Sus scrofa: one gene and its partners. The protein of the gene in region 6 purifies or fractionates together with the protein of the main gene of each other region. This does not show direct contact. Links are inferred from orthologs where the notes say so. Each region holds a gene or a part of one and is shown on either strand. Other genes may lie near its edges. The genes, in order: IQGAP1, DUSP9, OBSL1, DUSP16, CCDC8 and MAPK14.

What was found.
Region 1: the proteins of MAPK14 (region 6) and IQGAP1 purify together in Homo sapiens (affinity purification with mass spectrometry; 3 studies listed by BioGRID and IntAct, counting the BioPlex papers as one, with this or other methods). This does not show direct contact. The link is inferred for Sus scrofa from reciprocal best matches to the Homo sapiens genes MAPK14 and IQGAP1.
Region 2: the proteins of MAPK14 (region 6) and DUSP9 purify together in Homo sapiens (affinity purification with mass spectrometry; 8 studies listed by BioGRID and IntAct, counting the BioPlex papers as one, with this or other methods). This does not show direct contact. The link is inferred for Sus scrofa from reciprocal best matches to the Homo sapiens genes MAPK14 and DUSP9.
Region 3: the proteins of MAPK14 (region 6) and OBSL1 purify together in Homo sapiens (affinity purification with mass spectrometry; 6 studies listed by BioGRID and IntAct, counting the BioPlex papers as one, with this or other methods). This does not show direct contact. The link is inferred for Sus scrofa from reciprocal best matches to the Homo sapiens genes MAPK14 and OBSL1.
Region 4: the proteins of MAPK14 (region 6) and DUSP16 purify together in Homo sapiens (affinity purification with mass spectrometry; 7 studies listed by BioGRID and IntAct, counting the BioPlex papers as one, with this or other methods). This does not show direct contact. The link is inferred for Sus scrofa from reciprocal best matches to the Homo sapiens genes MAPK14 and DUSP16.
Region 5: the proteins of MAPK14 (region 6) and CCDC8 purify together in Homo sapiens (affinity purification with mass spectrometry; 3 studies listed by BioGRID and IntAct, counting the BioPlex papers as one, with this or other methods). This does not show direct contact. The link is inferred for Sus scrofa from reciprocal best matches to the Homo sapiens genes MAPK14 and CCDC8.

The regions. Positions count from the first base shown.
Region 1 is NC_010449.5:53,100,479-53,103,978, reverse strand, and holds part of IQGAP1 (ras GTPase-activating-like protein IQGAP1), read right to left. Parts: coding exon 3,421-3,500; intron 3,324-3,420; coding exon 3,252-3,323; intron 3,156-3,251; coding exon 3,086-3,155; intron 2,717-3,085; coding exon 2,508-2,716; intron 1,539-2,507; coding exon 1,383-1,538; intron 1,149-1,382; coding exon 985-1,148; intron 1-984. UniProt on the Homo sapiens protein: Plays a crucial role in regulating the dynamics and assembly of the actin cytoskeleton.
Region 2 is NC_010461.5:124,408,279-124,412,340, forward strand, and holds the start of DUSP9 (dual specificity protein phosphatase 9), read left to right. Parts: upstream 1-1,262; 5' UTR 1,263-1,481; coding exon 1,482-1,614; intron 1,615-1,795; coding exon 1,796-2,203; intron 2,204-4,011; coding exon 4,012-4,062. UniProt on the Homo sapiens protein: Inactivates MAP kinases. Has a specificity for the ERK family.
Region 3 is NC_010457.5:121,567,815-121,571,314, forward strand, and holds part of OBSL1 (obscurin-like protein 1), read right to left. Parts: exon of another isoform or gene 3,352-3,500; intron 1,072-3,351; coding exon 799-1,071; intron 1-798. UniProt on the Homo sapiens protein: Core component of the 3M complex, a complex required to regulate microtubule dynamics and genome integrity. It is unclear how the 3M complex regulates microtubules, it could act by controlling the level of a microtubule stabilizer.
Region 4 is NC_010447.5:59,868,440-59,872,701, reverse strand, and holds the start of DUSP16 (dual specificity protein phosphatase 16), read right to left. Parts: upstream 2,801-4,262; 5' UTR 2,135-2,800; intron 1,653-2,134; exon of another isoform or gene 1,054-1,652; intron 1-1,053. UniProt on the Homo sapiens protein: Dual specificity protein phosphatase involved in the inactivation of MAP kinases. Dephosphorylates MAPK10 bound to ARRB2.
Region 5 is NC_010448.4:52,473,334-52,477,307, reverse strand, and holds the start of CCDC8 (coiled-coil domain-containing protein 8), read right to left. Parts: upstream 2,801-3,974; 5' UTR 1,192-2,800; coding exon 1-1,191. UniProt on the Homo sapiens protein: Core component of the 3M complex, a complex required to regulate microtubule dynamics and genome integrity. It is unclear how the 3M complex regulates microtubules, it could act by controlling the level of a microtubule stabilizer.
Region 6 is NC_010449.5:31,790,299-31,794,397, forward strand, and holds the start of MAPK14 (mitogen-activated protein kinase 14), read left to right. Parts: upstream 1-1,305; 5' UTR 1,306-1,747; coding exon 1,748-1,863; intron 1,864-4,099. Other genes in the region: SLC26A8 (testis anion transporter 1), read right to left, coding at 883-1,305. UniProt on the Homo sapiens protein: Serine/threonine kinase which acts as an essential component of the MAP kinase signal transduction pathway.

The DNA of each region.
Region 1 (3,500 bases), about 21 Mb from region 6:
ACACTTTATATTAGTGTTTATACTAGTTCTTTTTTTTTTTTTAAAGGAAAGACTGTATTGGAATTGTTTATTCCTTTATCCCTGAGCACAATAGCCAATACAGAGCAAACATTTAGATAAAATTTAATTAGCATTAGACAAGTTTTTTTTGTCTGCACCCACGGCATGAAAAAGTTCCCACACCAGGGACAGAACCCATGTCACAGCAGCAGTGACGCTGGATTCTTAAACCACTAGGCCACCAGGGAACTCCTATATTATTTTACACTTAGCATATATTAGTTTCTATTAGTGTATAGTATAATTCATTTGTATTAGTGTACAATATATACTATTACACTTTTATTTTATTTATTTTATGGCCGCATTTGTGGCATATGGAAGTTCCCAGGCCATGGACTGAATCTGAGCTGCAGCCACAACCTATGCCCACAAATGTGGCAACACTGGATCCTTTAACTCACTGCACCAGGGTGGGGGCTGGGGATTGAATAAGCCTCCGCCGTGACCCTAGCCACTTCAGTCAGATTCTTAACCCACTGCACCACAGCAGGAGTTCCTGTTATTACATTTTAAAAGGTAGATGCTTCTTTTATTTATTTATTTATTTTCATCTTTTGTCCTCTTTTTTTTTTTTTTTTTAGGCCCGCACCCATGGCATATAGAGGTTCCCAGGCTAGGGGTCTAATCGGAGCTAACGCTGGATCCAAGCCATGTCTGTGACCTACACCACAGCTCACGGCAACGCCGGATCCTTAACCCACTGAGCAAGGCCAGGGATCAAACTGGCAACCTCATGGTTCCTAGTCAGATTCGTTTCTGCTGTGCCATGACAGAAACTCTGGTAGATGCTTCTTTTGAGTAAGTATTTCACACACTTCATGGTGCTGAGACCACGAAAAGCCACGGGCAGGCCTGACTCTCAGACTCTGAGCGTGTGAGCTAGTGGGAAGGGCCCGATGCTCCGTAGAACTCTGTTCGTACTTGATTTCCTCCTGTAGTGCTGTCTTAAAGAGCCGTAGGAGCAGGTACTCCTCTCGCTGGTTGGATGCATAGTTGTAGAGTGTAAAGATTACAGAGTCCATGAACTTGGTGGACTTGTTCTGGGGCATCTGAAAAATCAGCTTTGCCAGATAGGTGGGGTTGGTCTGAAATAAAACCACGAGATAACTTGTAGATAATACAGAAGATGACACAAACATTCACGAGTTTTCAGCCCAAAAGACTAAATGTACCTGAATAATCAAAAAAAATAAGACATCTCTTTGCTCTCCCCCTTAGCGAAAACCAGTAAGACTTCCATCGAGACCTATGCATAAGGTTTTCTTGTGGAAAAGTAAATTAACTTACATTTTGTAATAATAATTCCAGGAGCCACTCACCTGCAGTAAATAAAACAGGTGTTGATATGCTTCCAATTTCTCTCTCTTCTCTTTGCTCAAAGCCTTGAGACCTCCCTTTTGTTTATTTAGCATCATCATATCAGACAACTGTTCCTTATTTTTTTTGGTAAGTTTTTTACTGTGGGAAACCACATCCTATAAACAAACACATATACATAAATAAAAATAGCTTTTAAAGATGAAACTCCAGTCACTATGGAAATAAGGTCTTTTAGCACCTAAAAACTCTCTTCTGAAGGTCTACTGCACTGACAGATCCACATTAAAAATTCTTTTTCTTTTTTTTTTTTCGTTTTACAGCTGCATGTGTGACATATCGAAGTTCCCAGGTCGAACTGGAGCTGCAGCTGCTGGCCCACACCACAGCCACAGCAACAAGGGATCCCAGCTGCATCTGAGACCTACACCGCAACTTAAAGCAACACCAGATACTTAACCCACTGAGCGAGGCCAGGGATGGAATGTGTGTCCTCATGGATACTATGTTGGGTTCTTAACCTGATGAACCACAATGGGAACTGACCCGTTAAATATTTTATAATCACTACATCATATTCTACTTTCCGTATATCAATCAAATCTATTTCTACTTTCATCTTCCTATAAAGAAACTGTACCATAAAAATGTCCACTGATTCAGGAAACCAACTTCCAGGAATCTATCTTACAAAGTCTTAAATACAATAAAAGTTATGCATGCATTGAAACTTTCACTGCAGTGTTATTTTGTAATAATAAAAATTTGAAAATGTCAAATCATCTAGAAAAAAGAGGTAAAACATAGACTATTTCCTGATGAATTATTATATTGCCATTAAAAACAATATTTATGATGACTTCACATAGAGAAAGTACCTCATCCTCTACATTAAATAAGAATGTAGGATACAAAATGATTATTGGGGTGGTAGAATCACGGGATGATTTTTATCTATTTTTCTCTATTTAAAATTTTGCTATTAAATCATTTCATTTCCTATATAACTTTGAAAAAACCTACGGCATTAGCAGAGAAGAAAGCCAGCCACTCCGGTCATAAAGAGGGAGGTGGGGGTACCAGGTAGGAAAAAATGTCCCAAGGCCCCTGCTGGCACTGGACCATACCTGCAGTGTAATTTTATTTTTCACTAGCAGTCCAATTTTGATATCCATGAGATTGAGGTCATTCTCCAGCTGTTGGTTAGAACGAATGAGGGTAATGACCTCTTCCCGCATCTTCATGAGATCAAGCTCCTCCTGAAAATCCTGGTCACTCTGGTCGAGCAGGTGGACAAATTTTCGGACTACAATCATTGGAGGATCCTCAGCATTGACTGACAGAAAGAAAGCATGTGTCAGATGAAGAATGGAATTGCTAAAAAAAAGTTCCGTGTCTTGGAAAACATCAGCATTGTCTTAAAAAAAAAAAAAAACCTCTATTCACATGTAAGACATCTGTTTATTTTTGAGATGTGCAAAGACAGACACCAAGTGCAGTCTTCCCAGTCATGCTACTGCTAGGTTGTTATGTGGAAGGTGCACATGGCAAGCCACAAGACATCCAGCCACAGGTTAGCAAAGGGGCTTCAGTCACAAGCAGCACCCTACCCCCCAAGCCTTGCCTGCAGGACAAGAAAAGAGATCCGTGGAGAATACACAGAACCTGATGGCCTCAACTCTTCTCTGCCGAGCCAGTTACTCACTGAGAGTCTTGTAGTCATCACGAGCTTTGTTTGCCCGAATGAAAGCCTGGATTTTGATAATGTCATTTATCTAAGGAACAAAACAGAAGAAATTCCTCTGTTCACTTGTTCACCATGAACACAGCAAAACTGATGCTGTTGGTCCTTATTACCCAGGGGTACTCACGTGGTCTCGGAAGTACTGCAGGCGATCTCTATAGCGCTTTCTAGCTTGATGCATCCTTGCCAGGGACTGAATCTATGAAAAAGGAAGAGAGATGCTGGAAATTAGGAAAGCCCCTGCATCTCAACAGGTGTCATACTCACGTCCCGCGTTGAGACATCCTGCCACGTACCTTTATAACTTCATCTTTATGGGAGCGCAGGTAGGCTAAGCGATCTTGGTACGCCTTCTTCTGCTTGTATCCTCTCCACT
Region 2 (4,062 bases), on a different chromosome or scaffold from region 6:
CCTTGGCCATTTATCTATTGGAGCCTTAACCTTTTGATTAACTTGTATGAGCTTTATCTTATCTGCTGCACATTTTCCTTCGGCCCTGCTATTTGCTTTAGATGGGTTTTAAGCAGAGAAGGGACACAGAGCCAGACTTTTCAGAAAGCTCCCCCACCTTATTTCATTGTCTCAGCCCTTATCATGCCCCGTATTATCTTGTTCGGTCTCCCCGTTTATTGCCGGCCTGTCCCGCTAGCCGCTAGCCGGGGCGTGCCGGGCGAGCAGGGGCCAGTGTGTCCCGTCTGTTGATCCTCCTGTGTCCATGGAAGGCTTGGAGGCCCCCCGGCCTTCGCTGAGTGGATAAGCTGCGCGGGACGGTGCCGAGGAGGTGCGAGGCAGCCGGGAGGTAGGGCAAGGGCCTTGGAAGCTGTGAGGATGCCCTGTGCCAGGGCAGGGGGGAGAGGGGACAGCACAGGGGCGGGAGACATTGAAGTCGAAAGTACGCGGCTCTTGCCGAGAAAGGAGGCAAAGCCAGAAGCTGGGGCGGCTGCCAGGATCCATAGCGCGGGAAGAGCAGAGCTGTGGGCCTGAGCAGCAGGGGTTTTGGGTGCTGCTTCCTCCTCCCCTCCGTGATTTCAGGGGCCTCCCCTGGTAGCCCAAGGTGGTGGCTCTGATGAGCCTGTTATGTAGACAGGGCCACTCAAGGCCAGTCAGGGCTCAGGATAGTCCCGGGTCCCCCCAGATGAGTAGAGCTGGAGGCAGCCTCTGGGGCAGGGGCGCTGGGCCCTTGTCCTTACCCCTCCCCCTTCCTCCAGGGGCCTGACTGGCGCCGGCCGGGGGAGCTGCAGCTGGTCCCCTGCTGGGCCCCTGACCTGCCCTTGGCCTCTGCCCTGGCCCTGTCCCGCTTCGGTGGAAGCCCCGGCTCAGCGCGCCACTTGCAGGGCCCACTCAACTGCTTTCACTGGCACTCGTTGGCTCGCTGGCCCCCTGAGCCCGCCCCCGCCGCCCCGCCCCTCTAAACGGCAACTCCACGTCCAAAGGCAGCGGCTTCCAAGGTGGAAGCTGGGTCCTGCTGCCAGGAAGCGGCCAGTGTGCCGGCGGTGGTGGACTCGGCCTCCACGTGCGCGCCTGCTCCGCCGGCCCGCCCTCTTCCCAGTGGCCGGGCCCGAGGACACCCTGCCCGGGGCCAGTGCCCCACATCCTGCGGTGGCCGTGGCTGGGACGTCCATGCACGGCCGCTCGCCGCCGGATCACGCTCCAGGTCTCTCTCCTTTTGTTTCCTGCGGGTTGGGGGAGGCAGCTCCGAGAGGTCCAGCCGAGGTCCAGCCCCCCCCTCGGCACCACCTCTGTTCCCCAGGCTGCCTGGCCACGGGGGGCTCTCGGCCTCGCCCCCCTCAGGCGAGCGTGCGCTCACACCCGCCCCCAAAGTTGGAAGCCAGAAAGTGGAGAGAGTGCGTGCGGGCGCGGCGGGCAGGCGGAGTGAGAGATGCGGAAAGGGGATGTGGGGGAAGGTGGCTGTGGCCTTGGGCCCCCCAGGAGGAGCCAGGACGGGACACGGCGCTTGGCTCTGGCTCTGGAAGGGGCCGTTGGACGCCCAGCTGCCCTCTTCTGCGGGACCGAGGAGCAGCGCGGGTATTTGTCTAGGGGCGTGCCAGAGGAGGATTGGGCGGTAGAAGGGTGTCCCCGGGGGACCCCAGCCTCCCGTTTTGGGGACACGGGGTTGGCTTCACGTCTTGGCCCCTGGGCCCGCGGCCCTTCGCGGCCGGGCGCGAAGGACACGGGCTCACGTCGAGCTCCTTCCCTCTCTCTGCAGCTCCTGAGACCCGATCTGCCGGGAGCCGGGAGCCCATGGAGGGTCTGGGCCGCTCCTGCCTGTGGCTGCGCCGGGAGCTGTCGCCCCCGCGGCCGCGGCTGCTGCTCCTGGACTGCCGCAGCCGGGAGCTGTACGAGTCGGCGCGCATCGGCGGGGCGCTGAGCGTGGCCTTGCCCGCGCTGCTCCTGCGCCGCCTGCGGCGGGGGAGCCTGTCGGTTCGCTCGCTGCTGCCCGGGCCCCCGCTGCAGCCGCCCCCGCCCGCCCCAGTGCTCCTGTACGACCAGGGCGGGGGCCGGCACAGGCGCGGGGAGGCAGAGGCCGAAGCCGAGGAATGGGAGGCCGAGTCAGTGCTGGGGACCCTGCTCCAGAAGCTGCGAGAGGAAGGCTACCTGGCGTACTACCTGCAGGGTAGGTGCGGGTGGTGGCCCGGCGGGCACCAGCCTGGGGAGGACCCTGGCCCAGGGGAAGCATTATGCCTTCTGAGGGCAGTCATAATTCCTTTGACCTTGGGCGAGTCTGGCCTCATTTTGTCTAAAGTGGAGGTGGGACCCTGACCGTAACCTTGGGGAAGTCCTTCACTCTTGGGAGCCCCCGTTTCTGAGCCTGGAAGATGGGGCGAATCGGGCCGGCCTCCAGAATAGAGGATCCACGGAGGTCCCGCTGCGGCACAGTGGGTTCACAATCTGGCTTGTCTCTGTGGAGGCACTGGATCCATCCCCAGCCGTCACAGTGGCTAAGGATATGGTATTGCTGCAGCTGTTGCTCAGATTCCCTGGCCCCGGGATTCCATATGCCTCGGGTGCAGCTGAAAAAAAGAAAAAAAAAAAAAAAAGGAGTTCCCCTTGTGGCTCAGCTGGTTAAGAATCTGAATAATATCCATGAGGGTGCGGGCTCAACCCCTGGCCTCACTCAGTGGGTTTAAAAAAAGGAAAATAAAAGGGAGTTCCCGTTGTGGCTCAGCGGTAACAAACCCAACTAGTATCCGTGAGGACGCGGGTTCGATCCCTGGCCTCGCTCAGTGGGTTAAGGATCCGGCATTGCCGTGAGCTGGGGTGCAGGCCACACACACGACACGGATCCCGCGTTGCTGGGGCTGTGGTGTAGACCGGCAGCTACAGCTCCGATTGGACCCCTGGCCTGGGAATCTCCACTTGCTGCAGGTGCGGCCCTAAAAAGACCCCCCCCCAAAAAAAAGGAATAGAGGACCCAGTGTGGGCTCCGAGCCCTATCCCCACCTCCCCCAGCTGCTCAGCCATGGGCAAGGGAGGCAGGCGCTGGGACAAATCCCACTCTGCAAAGGGTCTGGAGAGGGCAGAGGCGGGGAGAGAGGGAGAGAGGCAGTGAAGGCAAGAAGAGGCAGAGACCTGGCCCCCCTATAGTCTTGGCAGGGCTTGGGGGTGGAGGGGAGGTGGGCTGATGCAGGCACACTGGCTCCTTGCCAAGCCAAACACCCCCAGAGATCCAGGGTAGCAACAGGATGCCCATGAACCTGCAGAGCCAGCTGCCCCCCCGCCCCGCCCCGCCCCAAGGAGGTTCGTTGAACCGTCGTCACTTGCTCCATTCTGAGTGCACCAGGATATAGAAATACAGAAAACACTGCGTTTCCAGCCCCCCCCCCCCCCGCACCCGAGGAAATCGTAGTTATTTGCAGGTGGAGGTGTGCGCCTCTTGGGACTTTGGGGCCATGCAGGCGGAGTGCTACACTCTCCCAGGCCTTCTGCCTCTTGGGGCCCCAGCTTCATCCCTGGAGGCAGCACAGACATGGCTGTCACCTGGTCTCTGCCCTCGAGTGCTCCCTGGTCAGGCTGGATCGGGAGACACCCAGGCAGAGAACTCACATCCGACCGTTTCCTCTTCTTTAACTGATGGCTGCTGTCCTCCCCAAGGCTCTCAGGACATCTAAACTCCATGGAGCCTTCCTGCCTGCCTTGGCTCGGCCCCCGGGGTTGTTATAGCCTCTTGGGGTGCCCTGCCTGGGCCTGGCATCTTGCAGCGGCGGTGGGCGCTGGTCCTGAGCCAGCATGGCTGGGCTGTCCCTAGCGCACCACCCGGGACAGCAGGGTAGGTCAGGCCGCTGGCCTGCAGGTTCTCTTTGGAGACGGCTGCGAGCCCCTTGGGGCACTGAGATGGTCCGGGCTCGCTTTCCTCTCCTCAGCCAGAACACTTGGCTGCCCAGGAGGCCAGGTCCATAGGACCCTCCCCTTGTCCCCTCCTAGGTGGCTTCAGCAGATTCCAGGCCGAATGCCCTCACCTGTGTGAGACCAGCC
Region 3 (3,500 bases), on a different chromosome or scaffold from region 6:
AGGGGGTGAATCAGATCTACACCACAGCCACAGCAACGCCAGATCCAAGCTGCGCCTGTGACCTACACCACGGCTCACAGCAAGGCCAGATCCTTAACCCACTGAGTGAGGCCAGGGATCGAACCCGCATCCTCATGGATGCTAGTCAGATTCGATAACTGCTAGGTCACAAGGGGAACACCACTAGTTGGGTTCTTAACCCACTGAGCTGCAATCGGAATTCCCGGCTTCTCTTTATATGCGAGGAACTGAGGCATCTTTATAGGGAACTGACTTGCCCAAGTTCACATGGACAGAAAGAGGCAGACCCACACTCACAGCCAGATCTGACCCCAGTGCACAGCCCTCCCTACCCGGCCCCCACTTCCTACCCCCTTTCCCTGCTTTGCCTCCAATGCACTGATCACTACCTGAAAAACCATCTATTTTACTTATTTGCTATCTGCAAGCTCCATGAACACGGGTTTCTCTTCTTGGTTCGCTGCTATATCTCTTAGCATCCAGAACAGTGCAGAGCACAAAGTATTTGTTGAATAAATGAATGGACGAATGATCCTGATTGCTGAGCTCTCCACCAGGCCTCTGTCACTGTTCCCCCCTGCTCTGGGCAAGCCAGGGCTCTCTGATGGCTGAGAAGGAGGGCCTGGGGGAGGAGGGAAGACTGGACAAAGGAAGGCTGTGCGCACCAGCTTGGGGGCCTGGTGGGGAGAAGGTGCAGGAAGTGGGAGGGTTGGGTATCTGTTCCTCAGCCTCCTGCTTCTCTACCTCCCTAGGGTGTCTGTCCCAGAGATTGCCCACCTGTGACGGTGACAGTGAAGAAGGCTGAGTCATCTCCGGCGTCACACACGAACTCGCCCCCGTCCTCCGGCTGGGCAGCGGGCAGCACCAGGCGGCGGCGGGGCCCGTCACTCTCCAGCACCAGGGCCTCGCTCTCCTCTACCTCCAGCCCATCCTTGTACCAGCGCACGGGGGCGTCCTCCCGAGACAGCTCACACATCAGCACCACACACTCCAGGCTCACGGCGACCAAGGTCACCTCGTCCCGGGGGTATATGATGCGGACTGGGGGTTCTGCAGAATGGGGGCAACCACAGGCTGTCACAAACTCACTGTCAGCCTCCCTGGAGCCGTCCAGTAGCAGGGAGTCCCTGTCACCCACAACCACAAGAGTAATAAGGATAATAATAACAAGGAACAATAGTCCACAATCTGAAGTCCCTGTTACAGAATCCAGAATGCTCCCGGTTCCAGAAACGGTGCATTTATCATATATCGCTTCCCTCAGCCCCCACGGCGACACCCCCCCCATAATCAATTACACTAACACTTCTGCAGTGTAACATACAGACATATCCGCCCTAAGCAGGATAATCGAAAATTGGCAATAGTTTCAGAGAATTAAGCTCAGGTTTTCCTGAAGTGGCTTTTGATACCAAATTTACAGAAAGCCTTTTGATTGCGAGGCTTTTTTTTTTTTTTCTTTTAATTTCAGAATTGTGGCTAAGGGAAGGCCACAGCCACACACATGCCAGTCCACACTTGGCCTCCGCACAAAACACGCTTGCAGGTGGCATGGTGACTTTCCCCAAGGCCCTCCTTGACCTCCTGCTCTGTCCTCTTGAGTCCTCAGCCCTTACGTACTACTTCCTAAAGTTCCAGGAACAGTTGTAAGTAGCACCTTACATCCTCATAGCAATCCTAGGACGTAGGTATAATTTTTTGTGGGTTTTTTGCAGGGGGCGGGTGGGGGGCTCATGGCATGCATAAGTTCCTGGGGCAGGGATTGAACCCGAGCCACACCAGCGACAATACTGAATCCTTAATCACTAGGGCATCAGCAAACGCCAACATAGTCTTATTCCCATTTCCCGGATGAGGAACCTGAGCCACAGAGCGGCTAAGTAAATTCCTCAAGGTCGCAGCTAGCTATACCTACTCAAGGGCAGGAGGGAGAACTACTGTCTGGTAAAAGAGGCTCACACTCTATAAGCAGTGGTAGGGATTCCAAGCTAAGGCATGCAGGAAACTCAGTAATGAGCATAGGAGTTGCCAACATCTGTCTAAGAGTTCCCCGAGGGATGTTAACCGCTGATTCTAGGAGTTCATCTCCAACTCCCCTGAACTGGCCAGTCTTCCACAGAAATGAGCCGTGTCAATGTTGGAGGTGATCCTGGAGCTGAGCCCAGGGCATGCCCACGCTTCCACACCTCAGAGGTCTTCCAGAATCAAGTCTCCAGGACACTTTAGGGCTCCTTTAACATTTCGCCCCCTTGTGGCTGGGCTGTGGAACTGCTAGCTTCCCCATCTAGGTTGTTAACAGAGGCACGTGTCCACAGCCTTGCCTCTGCCTCCCTAAATGGGCTTGTTCTGAGAGTCTAGAGGATGCAAGCTGGTTCTCTGGGGCCCGGTAGGGGCAGTAGATTGCAGGATGAGGCTTCCTGAGAGGTGGGGTAGATGATGGAGGCAGTGGCGTGAGGACAGGGTGCAGTGATGGGGCTGGGGTACCTGCATGGCCGTGGGGTCTCAGCTTGGCATCCAACTTGATTCTCCTGGTCCACAGCCAAGGTGGTGTGTTGTGTGAGCTTCCCCGTGAAGAATCTGGTGTTTTGTGCGGAGGCCAAGTGTGGACTGGCATGTGTGTGGCTGTGGCCATTATGTCTGGCCAGGGCTTAGGGTGGGAGATGCTGAAGGGACTCACTACAGGGAAGAATGTGTGTGGAAAGGTGTCTCTGATGTCGTAGCTTGTGCGCATCAGGCTGCACTATCTGGGGTGCAGGGAGTCGGGGGCCCTGAGGAGCCCAGCTAGGCAGGGGAGAGGGCCACCACATGCTGACGGTGCTAGCAGCAAGAGGTCACTCCAGTGCAGCCAGTGGGATTCTCCTGTGCCACCCAGACCTGCCTAGGCACACACTCCCCACCCCGTCACATACACACTGGGACTGGCGCTTTGGGCTGCAGCCCCCAGTTTCCGGCACTGAACCAGTTCTGCCGCAGTCATCCTGGGCTCTCCCCACTTTGGACATTCTCTCCCCACCTTTTCAGCCCAAACCCTGACCGCCACTCAGCTAACTCAGCCCCTACTCCAAATATCTGAAGACACCGCCGGTCCACTAAACACTTAGCAGCCCCCAGCCTTGGGCTCCCACTGCACCCTATGGGGACACTCAGCAATCCCCACTCTAAGACCCTCTATCGTGCCTGGCTTTTCTGCCAGAGGTGTGCGTGTGTGTCTGTGAGCCAGGGCTGACGCCTGCAGGTGGCATGGTGACTTTCCCCAAGGCCCTCCTTGACTTCCTGCTCTGTCCTCTTGAGTCCTCAGCCCTCACAGCACTTTGTCACGAGGTGTCGCTGTACATTTATTTGCGTGTTTATTGGTTAAACGCAGGGGTCGCAAACTCAAATGCCCACAGCGGCCAGGTAGGTAGGTTAGGTCAGTGGCTGAAGCGATCTGGGGGGAGGCAAAAAAGGAACGGCGGGGAGGATGGGACCGAGGAATGTGG
Region 4 (4,262 bases), on a different chromosome or scaffold from region 6:
CAGCTATGTAAGTGAGCTTCCTCAACATGTAATCCCATAGGCCAGAAAATCTATGGAATTTAAATTCCCAATACAGGCATTTATAGAAAAGAACATCAAAACACCAACCCTGGCCCTTCCAATGACCCCAGCCTAAACTCTGCACTCATCTCAGACTTGATCTCAGCCTCACTTCCACAAAAGAGTTTCTAATGTTTAAGAAAAAGGAAAAGAACTGGGTTAACAGGATCTTCTCTTTTGCCCCCTTTTCAGTTACTCCCATTAAGCTTTTGGCCAAAGAGATCCCAAATCCTCAATTTTACATGACTAGTTTACAGGTATTCAATTATTTTTACATCTGAATGCAGGTTTACAGTGCTTCAATCTACTTTTTTTTTTTTTCATGTTATTCACCATACCAGCAGAATTCAGAATAAACTCATTTTTACCTTTTTCCCCCATATAGAACTTTGATAAGTACATTTTACCTAAAACCAACTTTGGGGCTGATTTTTTTACATGAACATGTTAACTGCCCCCAATGTTTTTTTAACAACAAGATTTCACACAGTTATCAAACTCACTTAAATTCCAGAACTTTACTTATACAAAAAAAACAAAAACAAAAACAAAAAAAACTTTCACAGTGCCTAGTCACGTTTTGACTAAAATACCTAACTCCCAAGCTCTTAGTTTTTCAATTTACCTTTTCCAGGTTGCTACCTTCACCAAAACCAGAATTCCACAAGTCTCAATTAACTACAGCCTCCCAAGCTGTCTGTCCACCAAAATACAGGATTCTCAAGGAAAAGTAAATAATTCACAAGTGACTGATTCCATTGGTAAGAATTCGCTCCTTTTAAAAATTTACCTTAACTTCAAAAATCTTTGCTCTTGATGTGGTTCGGAATAGCATAAATCCTCTGAGGAAGCAGTTGTCACTTAACGTGCACTTAAAGATGAGTGGCTTAAAGATCTGACAGTCTAAGTTCCCCAAATACTAGTCATAAGGTCTCTCATGGATGGTAAATTTCACACACACAAACAGCCCGGAAAGAAAGCAAAGAAACATACCTGGTCATTTTCTAAACAGGTTTGATAGGTTTGGTTCCCTTGTAAGAGCAGAGTATTTACTTATAATCTTTTAAAGCAGAAGTGGCAGCCAGAACACTGGGTAAATAAAAACTTCAGAGAGTTTAAAACACCCTGCATCTTAACTCACTTCCCCTTGATGCAAGGGGACGGCACTGCAAACCCCCGGGCAAATGAGATTATGTAACAGGTTTTTCCTCTCCACTTTATTCATCACAGGCTGGATGGAGGTGTGCTTTCTCCAAACGATTCGAGGCACTGGGGATTTTATTTAGGATCTTTGCAGCGGACGGTTGAGAAACTTCTTCAGGATTTTGCCATATCCATTCATTTTAAGATCTCCTTATATTTTCTCAAGTTAATTCCCAGGTTGTTATTGTTGAAGTTTTAAAGGAAATAAGCCCGGCAGCACCTGAAATCTTCAGTCTTGCACAAATATTTTCCTCCCCGGTGTTTCATTACATGAAAAGTACACTCGATACACAGACCCTCGGTTGTCTCCCCGGGCTTTTTCCTTTCTCACGTTTTAGGGTTAGTGTAAATAAAGAAGTCACTGGCACACCGAGCCCCCAACACCCTGCCTGTGTAGGAGGGCGGGGGCAGCGCATGAAAAGCGAGTTGGTGGAAGAAAGCGGCCCCGTCACCACCCAGGTGGCCCCGCTGCTTACACCCAGGGCGAGTTGGGGATAATGGGAACCGTCAGGCCGGGGCCCCACTTGGCAGGCGTGTTGTGTAACAGTCGCGCCTGGAAGCGAGCGGCTTCGCCCGCGAAGGGACCGCGACCGCCGGCGGCTCCTGGCGGCGGGACCCGGCCGCTCGGCCCCAGTCCCCGCGCCGTCCCCCGCCCCCTCCCCGCGCGGCCCCCCTCGTCCCCCCCCCCAGCTTCCCACGCGCGCGCCGCTCCGGGCCGCGGTCGCCCCCACCCCGCCCGCCCGCCCGCCGACCCGGGCCCGGCCGCCGGGAGGGCAGAGCAGCCGGGGCGCGCGAAGGAGCGTCCATGCTGCCGGCGCGGCGGGCGCCCGGCCCCGCGCCCTCCCACCCCGCCGTCCGCGCGGCCACTTACTTGGGGAGCTACCGACCTCCCGGCTCTCTCGGGGGGAAATGAAAGTTGTCACGGCGTCTCCCCGCGGGGCCCCCTCGCCTCCCGGACCTGCGAGGCGCCGCGGCGGAGCCGGGAGGGCGGCTGCGCTCCTGCTCGCGTCCGTCCCGTCGCGCTCTCCTCCTCCTCTTCTTTTCACTATATTATCTTCTCCTGCTCGGAGGGGCGGGTGGGGGCGGGAGGCTTAGGAAGCGAGGAGAAGTTTGCAACTTTTCTTCACTCTTTCTCTCCCCCCCACCCCCGATCAGCCTTGAAAAAACACTGCTGAAAGGGGTGAGGAACCTGGGGAGGTGGGGGGGCGGCGGGGGCAGGGAGAGGTGATGATAGTCGTTTGAAAACTGATCAGAGCCCCCCAAACAGGGACACCCAGAAAGAGGGGGAAAGGCGGGGGGGGTGGGGTGGGGGTGGGGGAAAAGAGAAAGAGTCGCTGGTCAGGAAACTTCAAGCGCGGATGAGGTCATTGGTTTAAAAATAAAGAGATGGCGTCACTTGAAACCAATCCCAGTGAATGAACTCAGCGGAGCCCCGGGGAAAGGAGGAGACAGGCGAGGGCAGGGCGGTGGGCGCCGGGCGGGGCCGCGCGCCGCCCGCCCAAGTCCGGAGCGGGGCTCGGCGCCTGGTCGCGGCCGCTCGGGGAGGGGACGGGTCACGTTCCGTTCCGGGGCCCGGCGGCTCCGGGGCAGGTTCCGCGGGCGCCGCTGGGAGGAGCCGGGCGGCTGGGGGAGGCGGACCCGCGGCCTCCTCCTTCCGCGCCCGCGTGCCCGCCGCCCCCGGGGGCCCCGAACCCCGACCTCCCTGCCTGGTCTCGGCCGCGCGCCTTAGCGCCGCGCCCCAACAGGTATTTCAGGGTCGCATCCCCCACCCCCACGCCAGCGAGGAGCAGAACCTTTTCCTCCTGGTTGGGCTGTTTCCAGCTGCCTCCCCAGCGTGAAGAAACGCAAACAATGATTTGAGAGAATTACAATCGCTCTTTAAAAACCCAAAATGCAGGGCACCGCCGTCTCTTAGGAAAGAGAAGTAACAGGTACTTTAAGAAAAATCACATTCAGGTGGTCAGGCACTCAGCTGCCTCTCTGTGTCTGTCATTGAAAGCCCCCACCTGAATGCTCCTAATATTCATTATTTTACTTTGATTAAATTTACTCAACATTTCCTATTTACAAATGTAATGGGAATGAGCAGCCTAAAATGCTCTTTAGAGGTATGTTCTATATCGGGCAGCACAGAATCATCTTGAAATCAAAACAGAGGTTCACTGCCTCTTGAGAGGTGCAAGACCCCATTGATTTAACTTCACACACTTCGTGCATTTTTAAATTTGGACTAATTAAAATAGCTTTGTTTTGAAACTACATTACACACTTGGGGAAACTAGAGACCTGAGGTGGTGACAATCCAGGACTTGGAATCACTGACTAGGACAATCAGATCTTTATTCTAGTGTTCTTTGAGCATTTGAGCATGAAGCTGCTTCAACTGAGAAGTACTCACGTGGATATCACATAACAAAGATGTGATTAATGACGGAAAAGCACACTGCGAGTGAACTGCTCCAGGAGCCAGAATTTGTAGGCAGGAATAGTGTATCTCCTCAAGTGTTCCATTTGCAATGTACTCAATTTGGGACCTTGGTCCCGAAAGTCATCTTTGTTCGGAAATGTCTGTTTGGACACTTCCAGGGGCTTTTTGTTTGCTTGTTTAATTGGCAAAAGAACTGAAAAGCAGGTTTGGAGTGAGAAAGCTGAAACATCTCCATACTCCCTTTCTGCCTTTAAATCGTGCAGCTAAAGTGCATTTGCTATTATAATCATTTCAGGTTAGTATTAGGGTAAGCCTCTAGGAGCTTCCAGCCCATGTTTTAGAGGAGAAAAAGGAGTCCACCTGGAGATGGGAATGCGCTGAGCACATCAGGCAGTCACTGAAGCCTGAAGGCCATAGATTTGACCTCTTTTAAGACTTCTATGGAGGGGAAGCAATCGCTCCCTGCGCCCTGTCCTCTGGTGGCCACGGGCTGTTACTGCTTGTGCTCTTCCAGGAAAGCTCTGATAATCGACTGACCACAGTCCTGCTGTTTAGAACAGATTCTAAAGGG
Region 5 (3,974 bases), on a different chromosome or scaffold from region 6:
CCCTGTGGCTCTCCAAGCAGCTGAGGATTCAGCTTCCTGGACAGCCAGGGCCTCTGCCCTCTGACTACATGCAGCTTCTGCCCTCTGGTCAGGAATGGCCTCTGCCCTCTGGACAGCTGGCGCCTCTGCCCCCTGGACAGCTAGGGCCTCTGCCCTCTGATTATCTGCAGCCTCTACTCTCTGGACAGTTGGGTCCTCTGCCCCCTGAGCAGCAGGGGCCTCAGCCCTCTGATTATCCACAGCTTCTGCCCCCTGGAGAGCTATGGCCTCTGCCCCCGGGACCACTACTACCTCTGCCCTCTGATCATCTGCAGCCTCTGTTCTCTGAGCTCTAGTTGGGGCTTCCTCCCTCCTGCGACGACGGAAGGAGGCCCAATTGATTTTGGGTCTCCACCGACTTGGGGGATTCTCAGGCACCCGCCCATCTCCTGCATTTCCCCTGTCCTCCCCGAGGCTTGAGCTGCCTGGCACCGATGCGCCATCCCTCTCCACCCTGGTAGAGGCCTGCCGGGCCTCACCCACCCCTGGGCTGGACCTCGGTGCCCAGCCCTTCACCCTCCGCTTCAGCTTCCCCCAGGACACCTGGCTGACATATTCCCGCCATCTATCAGCCTTGGACAGCTGGGGTCCCGGATTGTCCTCAAACATGGGCACTGGCAGGGTCACACGGCGGCGGGCCGGCGGGGCACTGGGCTTCTTCTCTCCTCGCCGCAGGAAGGCCTCAACCAGTTCCTCGTCATCCTCGCTCTCCAGGTCGCTCCCAAGGAATTTGCTGCCCAGGTAACTGACAGGCATTTTGCGCAGCCTCCTTCCACGCCCCGTGCCTTTGTGGTCCTTGTCATCCTTGTCTCTGGAGGTTTCAAAGTCGCTGAACTCGCTGTCACTGGCATTGCTGCTGTCATAAGTACCCACGACCAGCCGAGGAGGTGGCGTCACCATCTGCGGGACTCTCCTCCTCGATCCGGGCTCCTTGGGCTTTTTAGGGGGCTGGGGCGGGTGGGGGGTGCTCTTCTCGATGATGCGGGCCACATCCTCCAGGGTGCGGCCTTCTTCCTCCAGAAACTGGATCAGCCGCTCCCGAAATTCCGCCTCCTTGGTGGCGGGCTTGGAGATAACCCTCCAGACGCCTCCCGCCAGCCTGACCTCGCGGGGGATGAGCAAATAGTCTACGTCCTCGCCGATCTGCAGCATCCCCACCGTGGAGTCCTCCTCGCGGCGGAACACCTTGCCGATCTTCTTGAATGTCCCCACCGGCTTCAAGGCTTCCACGAGGACGTCCAAATCCACATCTTTGCAGATGTCGGGGACGCTCCAGAGGATCAGGCAATCAGGGGAAGGGAGGAAGCCCCAGGGGAACCAGCCCCCCACGTGGCTTTTCTCGAGGGTCTTTAAGATCTCCAGGGTGAAATCTAAAGTGCGGGCAAGGAGCCCAAACTACTCGCAGCGCCGAGTCTTGGGGTGGGGATGCGGTCCCAAGAGCGCGGCCGGGAATCTCACCTCCCAGTTTCTCTGCCCGCAACAAGTCGGGTCGTGATCCAGTTCGCTCCCCTCAAGGACTGGTGGGAATCGATTCAGGGTGCTTACGTGAGTCGGAGTCTCAAGGTTCCAAGCCCGCCGCAAGCTGTAAATGGGTGTCCCGGCTCCAACTCAGTGTAAGGACTGCTGGTGGCTCTTCCTGTGCCAGGCACAGGGGACGTCCCTGGAACTTGGGAAAGGACTTTGCAGACAAAGACGGCTCAGCTGTGGCTGTTCAATATGGCCGAGGCTCTTGGAGGCCGCAGCCAGCTCCCCAGGAGGGTCTCCCGCCCCTAGGCAGGCTGCCACCTCGGTCCAGGCTGACCTTGACGCGCCTCCGCCCCCAGCCTGCGCGCCCAGGGCCGGCGAGTGCGCGCGCGGGCAGGAAGTTCCTCCTCGCCTTCCCCCTGGATGAGGCCCACCTTCTCCCTGCTCGGCTTACACTCCCGGACTCGGGGAAGACTGACAGGGGGGCTGTCCACTCCCCTTGGGGCGCCCTCGCCGCCCTCCCCCCCAGGGGTGTGGCTGCGCCCCGGGCCTCTCAGGGGCCCCGGCTTCCAAGCCAAAGGCCTGCGGTGCCGACGCCCACGTCAGCAGCTTTCTCTGAGAAAGGCAGCAGTTCCCGAAACTACCGTCCCAAAAGTGCGGGTTCCAGCCCAGCCCTGAAGGTGGGCGCGCTCATCATCGGGCAATCCCTTGGAAAGCCACTGACAGTATAGTACCATCTTAAAATTAAGTGACTTTGGGTACCGGCAGTTCCTAGCCATATACCCAGACATGTGGGTGAAGAACCTGGTATCAAGGTCTTATTGCAGCTCATCATGGGGCTTGGCACAGAGTAGGTGCTCAAGAAATATTTTTGAGTGAATGAATGCACCTAATTGTTCACCGGTAGGGACTAACGGTGAAATACTAGGCCGTTATGAAAAAGAGAAGTGACTGAGAATAAACACATTTTAGGGAGCACTTCCTACGTACGAAGGACCATGCTAAGTGCTTTTTATAAATTAACTCATAAAATTCACACAAAAACATCAGGATACAGATAATACGATGCTCATTCCCATTGTACAGCTGAGGAAATAAAATCAATCTCTTGCTCAAGGTCACATGGCCAGGAAGAAGACTGAACCTGGATTTGATTCTGAAACAGTCTAATGTGTGTGTAGACCAAAGGGCCTAGGTGTATACATACATTTGTCATGTGTAGAAGCACTGCCAACAGTGGCTATATCTGGGGACCCCGGAGGTGGCTTTTCACTTTTCACATGACTTTTCACTCTATCATTTTGGAGTGCTTCAATTTTTAACAATCAAAAATGTTAACTGAAATAAGTTAAATTAAATTGAAGGACCTCAGATACCTCAAAAATGTTAATTGAAATAAGTTAAATTAAAGGGTCAGGATTCGCAAAGCTTCTTGGGTAACTGTGAGGCAACCACATGCACAGCAACAACTGCCTTAGTAATAATAACGGTTAACCTGCATGGATGCTTTCTTTGAAACCAGGCATCCTGAGTGGGCCTGTTATGAATCTGCAGAGCTACACCGAAAGGTGAATGCCTTCACTATCATCTCCTTACAGCTGGGGACACTGAGGCTGGTCCCCGATTGCACAGTTCGAAGTGGAGAGCCAGATATTTGAACCAGATCCCAGACGTTAGAACTAACTCCAGGCTCTGAAGATACAGCTGATCTGCGTCCTCCTGAGAGTGCTAGGCTGTTTGACCCCTTAAAAGCCATCGCATGTCCAGCTGCCCTCAATGCTTGCCTGGATCCATACAAATCCCTCCTCGTGGGGCTCCCTGCTTCCTTCTCACTGCCTATAATCAATCCACCCCCAACCTAGCAACTTAAGCCAGATCTGTCTCTCCTCTAATTTTTTTTTTTTTTTTTTTTTTTTTTTTGTCTTTTTGCTATTTCTTGTGCCGCTCCTGCGGCATATGGAAGTTCCCCGGCTAGGGGTCGAATCGGAGCTGTAGCTGCCAGCCTACGCCAGAGCCACAGCAACTCGGGATCCGAGCCGCGTCTGCAACCTACACCACAGCTCACGGCAACGCCGGAACCCCGACCCACTGAGCAAGGGCAGGGATCGAACCCGCAACCTCATGGTTCCTAGCCGGATTCGTTAACCACTGCGCCACGACGGGAACTCCTCTCCTCTAATTTTAAAGTCCTCGCCATCACCCACAAAGTCCCACTTCCCGCTCTCTTTCTCTCTTCCTCACTCCACTCCAGCCACACCTGCCTCCTCATTGGTCATCCAATAAATCGGGCTTACCTCCACCTTCAGGTCCTTTGCATCACTGGTCCCAACACCCAGAAAGTTCTGCCCCTACCTTCTCTTGGCAATCTCCCTCTGCTCAAATGTCATCTTTTTTTGTTGTTGGCCGTGCAGAAGGTCTCAGGCTAGGGATCTAGCCCATGCCACAGCAGTGACAATACTGGATCCTTAAGC
Region 6 (4,099 bases):
GCAAGAGAACCTGAGCCAAACCATGTTGAATCCAAAGAAAGCTTTCTACAAATCACTCATGACCCTGGTTTTGGGCTTAGTTTTATTTTTCCTTGAGGAGAACTGAGGATCCTGCTCTGCTTCTTAAATTGAGACCATGTCATTATTCATAATTTATTCAACAAATATTTATGGGGGAACTTTTACGTTCTAGGCACTGTGCTAAATGTTGGGGCAAGACAGACAAAGTCTGAGCACTCCAAGGATGCATATAACACAAAAGAGAATAATCATGGTTAGTGGCTTGAACCCAGTTATTTCTAAAAAGAAATGACTAAGAATAGATAGGGTCCAATTCTCCTGCTTATTGTAACAAGGTTTAGCATAGGAATAGGCCAACAGTAGGGGAAGTTATGGGATTATAATCCTCTGCCCATTCACATTTATTATTGTGTTTAGCTTTAAGTAGGGAATGTAGGGCAGGAATTCTCTTTTGCATAAACTGGAACCAAAGTCTAGGAAAGGTCAATTGACTTGCCTAACCGGACACTGCCAGAAGACCACTCTGCACTGTTCTTACTCTGAGAGGCACGATTTAAATGTTTACAATCCTCTTCCCTGGAAAACTCTTCAAGGTAAGAGTCAGTTTCAAACCTTCAGAGTAATGGTGTTAAAAATTCTTTTCAAACGGAGATACCAGGGACTTATCTGAATTACTTGGGGCATATTGTAAAAAGGCACATTCCTGGTGCCCATCGCGGACCTATCCAATTAAACTCGTTGTGGATCCATAGACTCTTCATTTTTAAACTCCCAAGGTGATTCCTCCGCACATAGAAAGTTGAGAACTACTAGTAGAGTTTGGGTGGAAAACCTCAAACTTAATGCAGGGCTAATATTTACCTTTGGGGCAGATTTCGTCAGAATTCCGAAGAGTAAGCCATATGTCCTTGAGCAGATGAGACTGCAACGGCTTTCTGGCCAGAACCTCTTTTTTATGCAATATTTCTTGGAAATTGGAGGTTCCGCTAAGCGGGTGCTCGGCTGCTGTGGTAGTTCAAAGATCCTTTGGCTCTTTCCCGACACCCTATTAGTCACTGTCGCTTTCCACCGGGGAACTAGGCATTTGCCCCGCCGACCACGGTGGGGCGCACGCGGCAAATGTTCGCCGCTTGACCACCTCTTGCCTGGGTCCGCCTTCGCGCCCTCAAGAAGAGCAGTTCCCGGGAGTTCCTGCCTCTGGTGACCAGCTGTTGCTCTCTTCTCGCGAGAATTGCTCCTCCCGTCCTCTCCCCTCAGCAACCCCCGCCCACAGGCAGGTTCCATATTGGGTAAAATCTCGGCTCGCGGAGAGTCCCGGGAGCTGTTCTCGCGAGAGTAAGGCAGGAGGCTTCTGTTCGCTGGCTCTGGAACGGCGACCACTGGAACCTCTGCGGGCGCTGCAGCTGGAGCGGTAGTCCCGCGGCGCAAACCGGAGTCGGCCTGGACTGAAGCGGGTGCAGGGAGAGTGTGGTGGGCGCAGCTTTGAGCCCTGGAGCGCGCCCCTGCCCATAGCAGGGCTCGCCCCAGTCGCCGAGGCGCGTCCAGCTGCTGCGGCTGACAGGGGCCGCGCGCGCGGGAGTTGTCAGGGTCGCGGCAGCCGCACCTGCGCGGGTGGCCAGCTCTAGGTCCCCGCAGGGTCCGGCGGACGCCGAGGTCCGAGGAGCGGGTGCGGGCGCAGGCGGGGCCCCGCAGGGCCACCTCCTCGCCCCGCGGCCGCCGCTGGAAGATGTCTCAGGAGAGGCCCACGTTCTACCGGCAGGAGCTGAACAAGACAATCTGGGAGGTACCCGAGCGTTACCAGAACCTGTCCCCGGTGGGCTCCGGCGCCTATGGCTCCGTGTGGTAAGTGTCACTGGGCCTGGGGCCTTGGTGGGCTGGGTAGCCCTTCATGCCCCAGAGCCAGGCCTGCCCCCACGGCTCAGCAATGCACCAAGCGGCAGGAATTTTCCCTGGGGGGAAGCCATCCCTGCCCCTTTGATCCCTGTCCTGGACTCCCTGTACCCTTGGGACCCCTCACTCAGCACACCCGCGTAGGTAGTCAGCTGTGTGTAGGACGAGGTCCGCAGTGAGTACCCGGTGGTGTTGGGAGCCCGGCGCTGGCTCGCACCCTGCGCGTTCCCTTGTCGGGGGTGGGGTGGGGTGGTTGCTGCTCTGGGGGCAGGAACAGGGGGGCCCTCTTTGGCGGTCTCCCTGCTGTCATCGAACAGAGGGGCTCTCCCGAGGGGCGCCCACTGTGGGCGCCGTAGCTTGCCCTTGGATCAGACAAGCCCGGGAGCTGCCGGGAGGAACAGAAGGGCAAAGCTCGCCAGGGAGACTGCGGTCATCTGAACAAAACTGAGGACGAAGGACGTACCGTCCCGGCTTTTTTTGCAAACCTTTGTCGAAATCCCATTTGGAGAAGCGTTCTTTTTGAATTCGCACTTGAATTAGCAGCTATCCACAGAGCTTAAAATACCGACTTTATCGCGGTGAGCACGGTGCCAACTTGAGTGGTGTGTTTCCGATTCAGTTGAAAGCGTATTTCCTTTTCGCAGAGTTGGGGGTGGGTGGTAGTGCCTGCAAACACCCTGCAGCTTGAGAAGCTGGCGGCTTCACTGATTAGTCACATACCACTGCTCATTTAAGTATTGTTGGACAAAACAATTTTCGCCTTTGGAGCAAGTGAGATTCAGATCCGTTGGACGCCCTTAAGATCAAAAAGTTACTAACAATATTGGGAGGTATTTTAAATATTTTTAAATTGTGATAATTCTTGTGAAATACTGGGCTTTTTAAGTCCCTTAGAGAGTTTGCAGGGAACTTATCTACACTTACAGCCTGAGGTACACCACGGTTTTCATAAGGATATGGAATGTATCGCAAAAGAAGGAAGAGACACTTTTCAGCCTTAATTCATGCTGTGAATGTGTTTTAAACTAAATGGTACCATAACATTTCCGGACCTGAACTATTTCGCTAACTTTTCTAACTTCCCAGGTCTTATACACTATATTTTAGATTTACTGCAATGTAAGAACTCCTGACCATAAGCTAATTCATGTGATTCCTGTGCATGTATCATTTGAAAAGAGGTCTACAAGATTATTTTTATTATTTTTTGTTTTGGCACAAATTCCAGGCTTTTAGACTCGTTAATCTTTAAATATAATTCCTGTGTTTCTTAAAGTCCCAGCATGAATTTCCTGTTTGGTAGAATCTTCTGGGTAATTGAGATTGTGCAATTGTGTCCAGCAACAGATCATATTGCGTTTTCTAGTTCAGGCTGCTTGAGTTATGTTGCTGATGGCACTATGCCTGACATCTTTTTTCCATTTTTATAGTAGGGCAGTTTATATTTTAAGGGAATTTGCAGCATTTAACCATATGCATATATGTGTGCTGTTTATTTGCTAATTTTCGAAGACGATTTTGGATCGTTGCTCCTTTAGTAGCTCATTAGTTTACCTCCATTTTTCATTCTTGACTTGGCACATTAATTTTTGTAGTACTGTGTTTTTCTGTCAAATAATGTTTAAACTTTAATGATGTGATACAGCAGAATAGCTCAGTTATGAAGAGTTTAAGAACTGCTTGCAAGGTTTCTCTGCCTTTGGTGTGACTAGCTATGTCTTGACACTGGAGATTCAGATTTACAGCAAAGTGCCGTTAAAATGAAGTTCACATTTTTTCAGTGCTATACTTTTCTGGTTTATAGAAGCCATCAATAAGTAAGTGACACTTGGAAGTAATTTTGTTAAACAGGTTTTTTGTTTGTTTGTTTGTTTTTGCTTTTTAGGGCCCCACCCACGGCATATGGAAGTTCCCAGGCTAACAGGTTAGGGGTCGAATCTGAGATACAGCTGCAGGCCTATACCACAGCTATGGCAACATGGGATCCAAGCTGAGTCTGCCACCTACACCGCAGCTCACGGCAATGCCAGATCCTTAACCCACTGAGCAAGGCCAGGGATCCAACTTGCATCCTCATGGCTCCTAGTCAGGGTTTTAACTCCTGAGCCATGAAGGGAACTCCCAGTTTTTTAGAAGTAGGTGATACATTCACATAGTATAAAATTCAAAAGTTATAAAAGGATAGTGG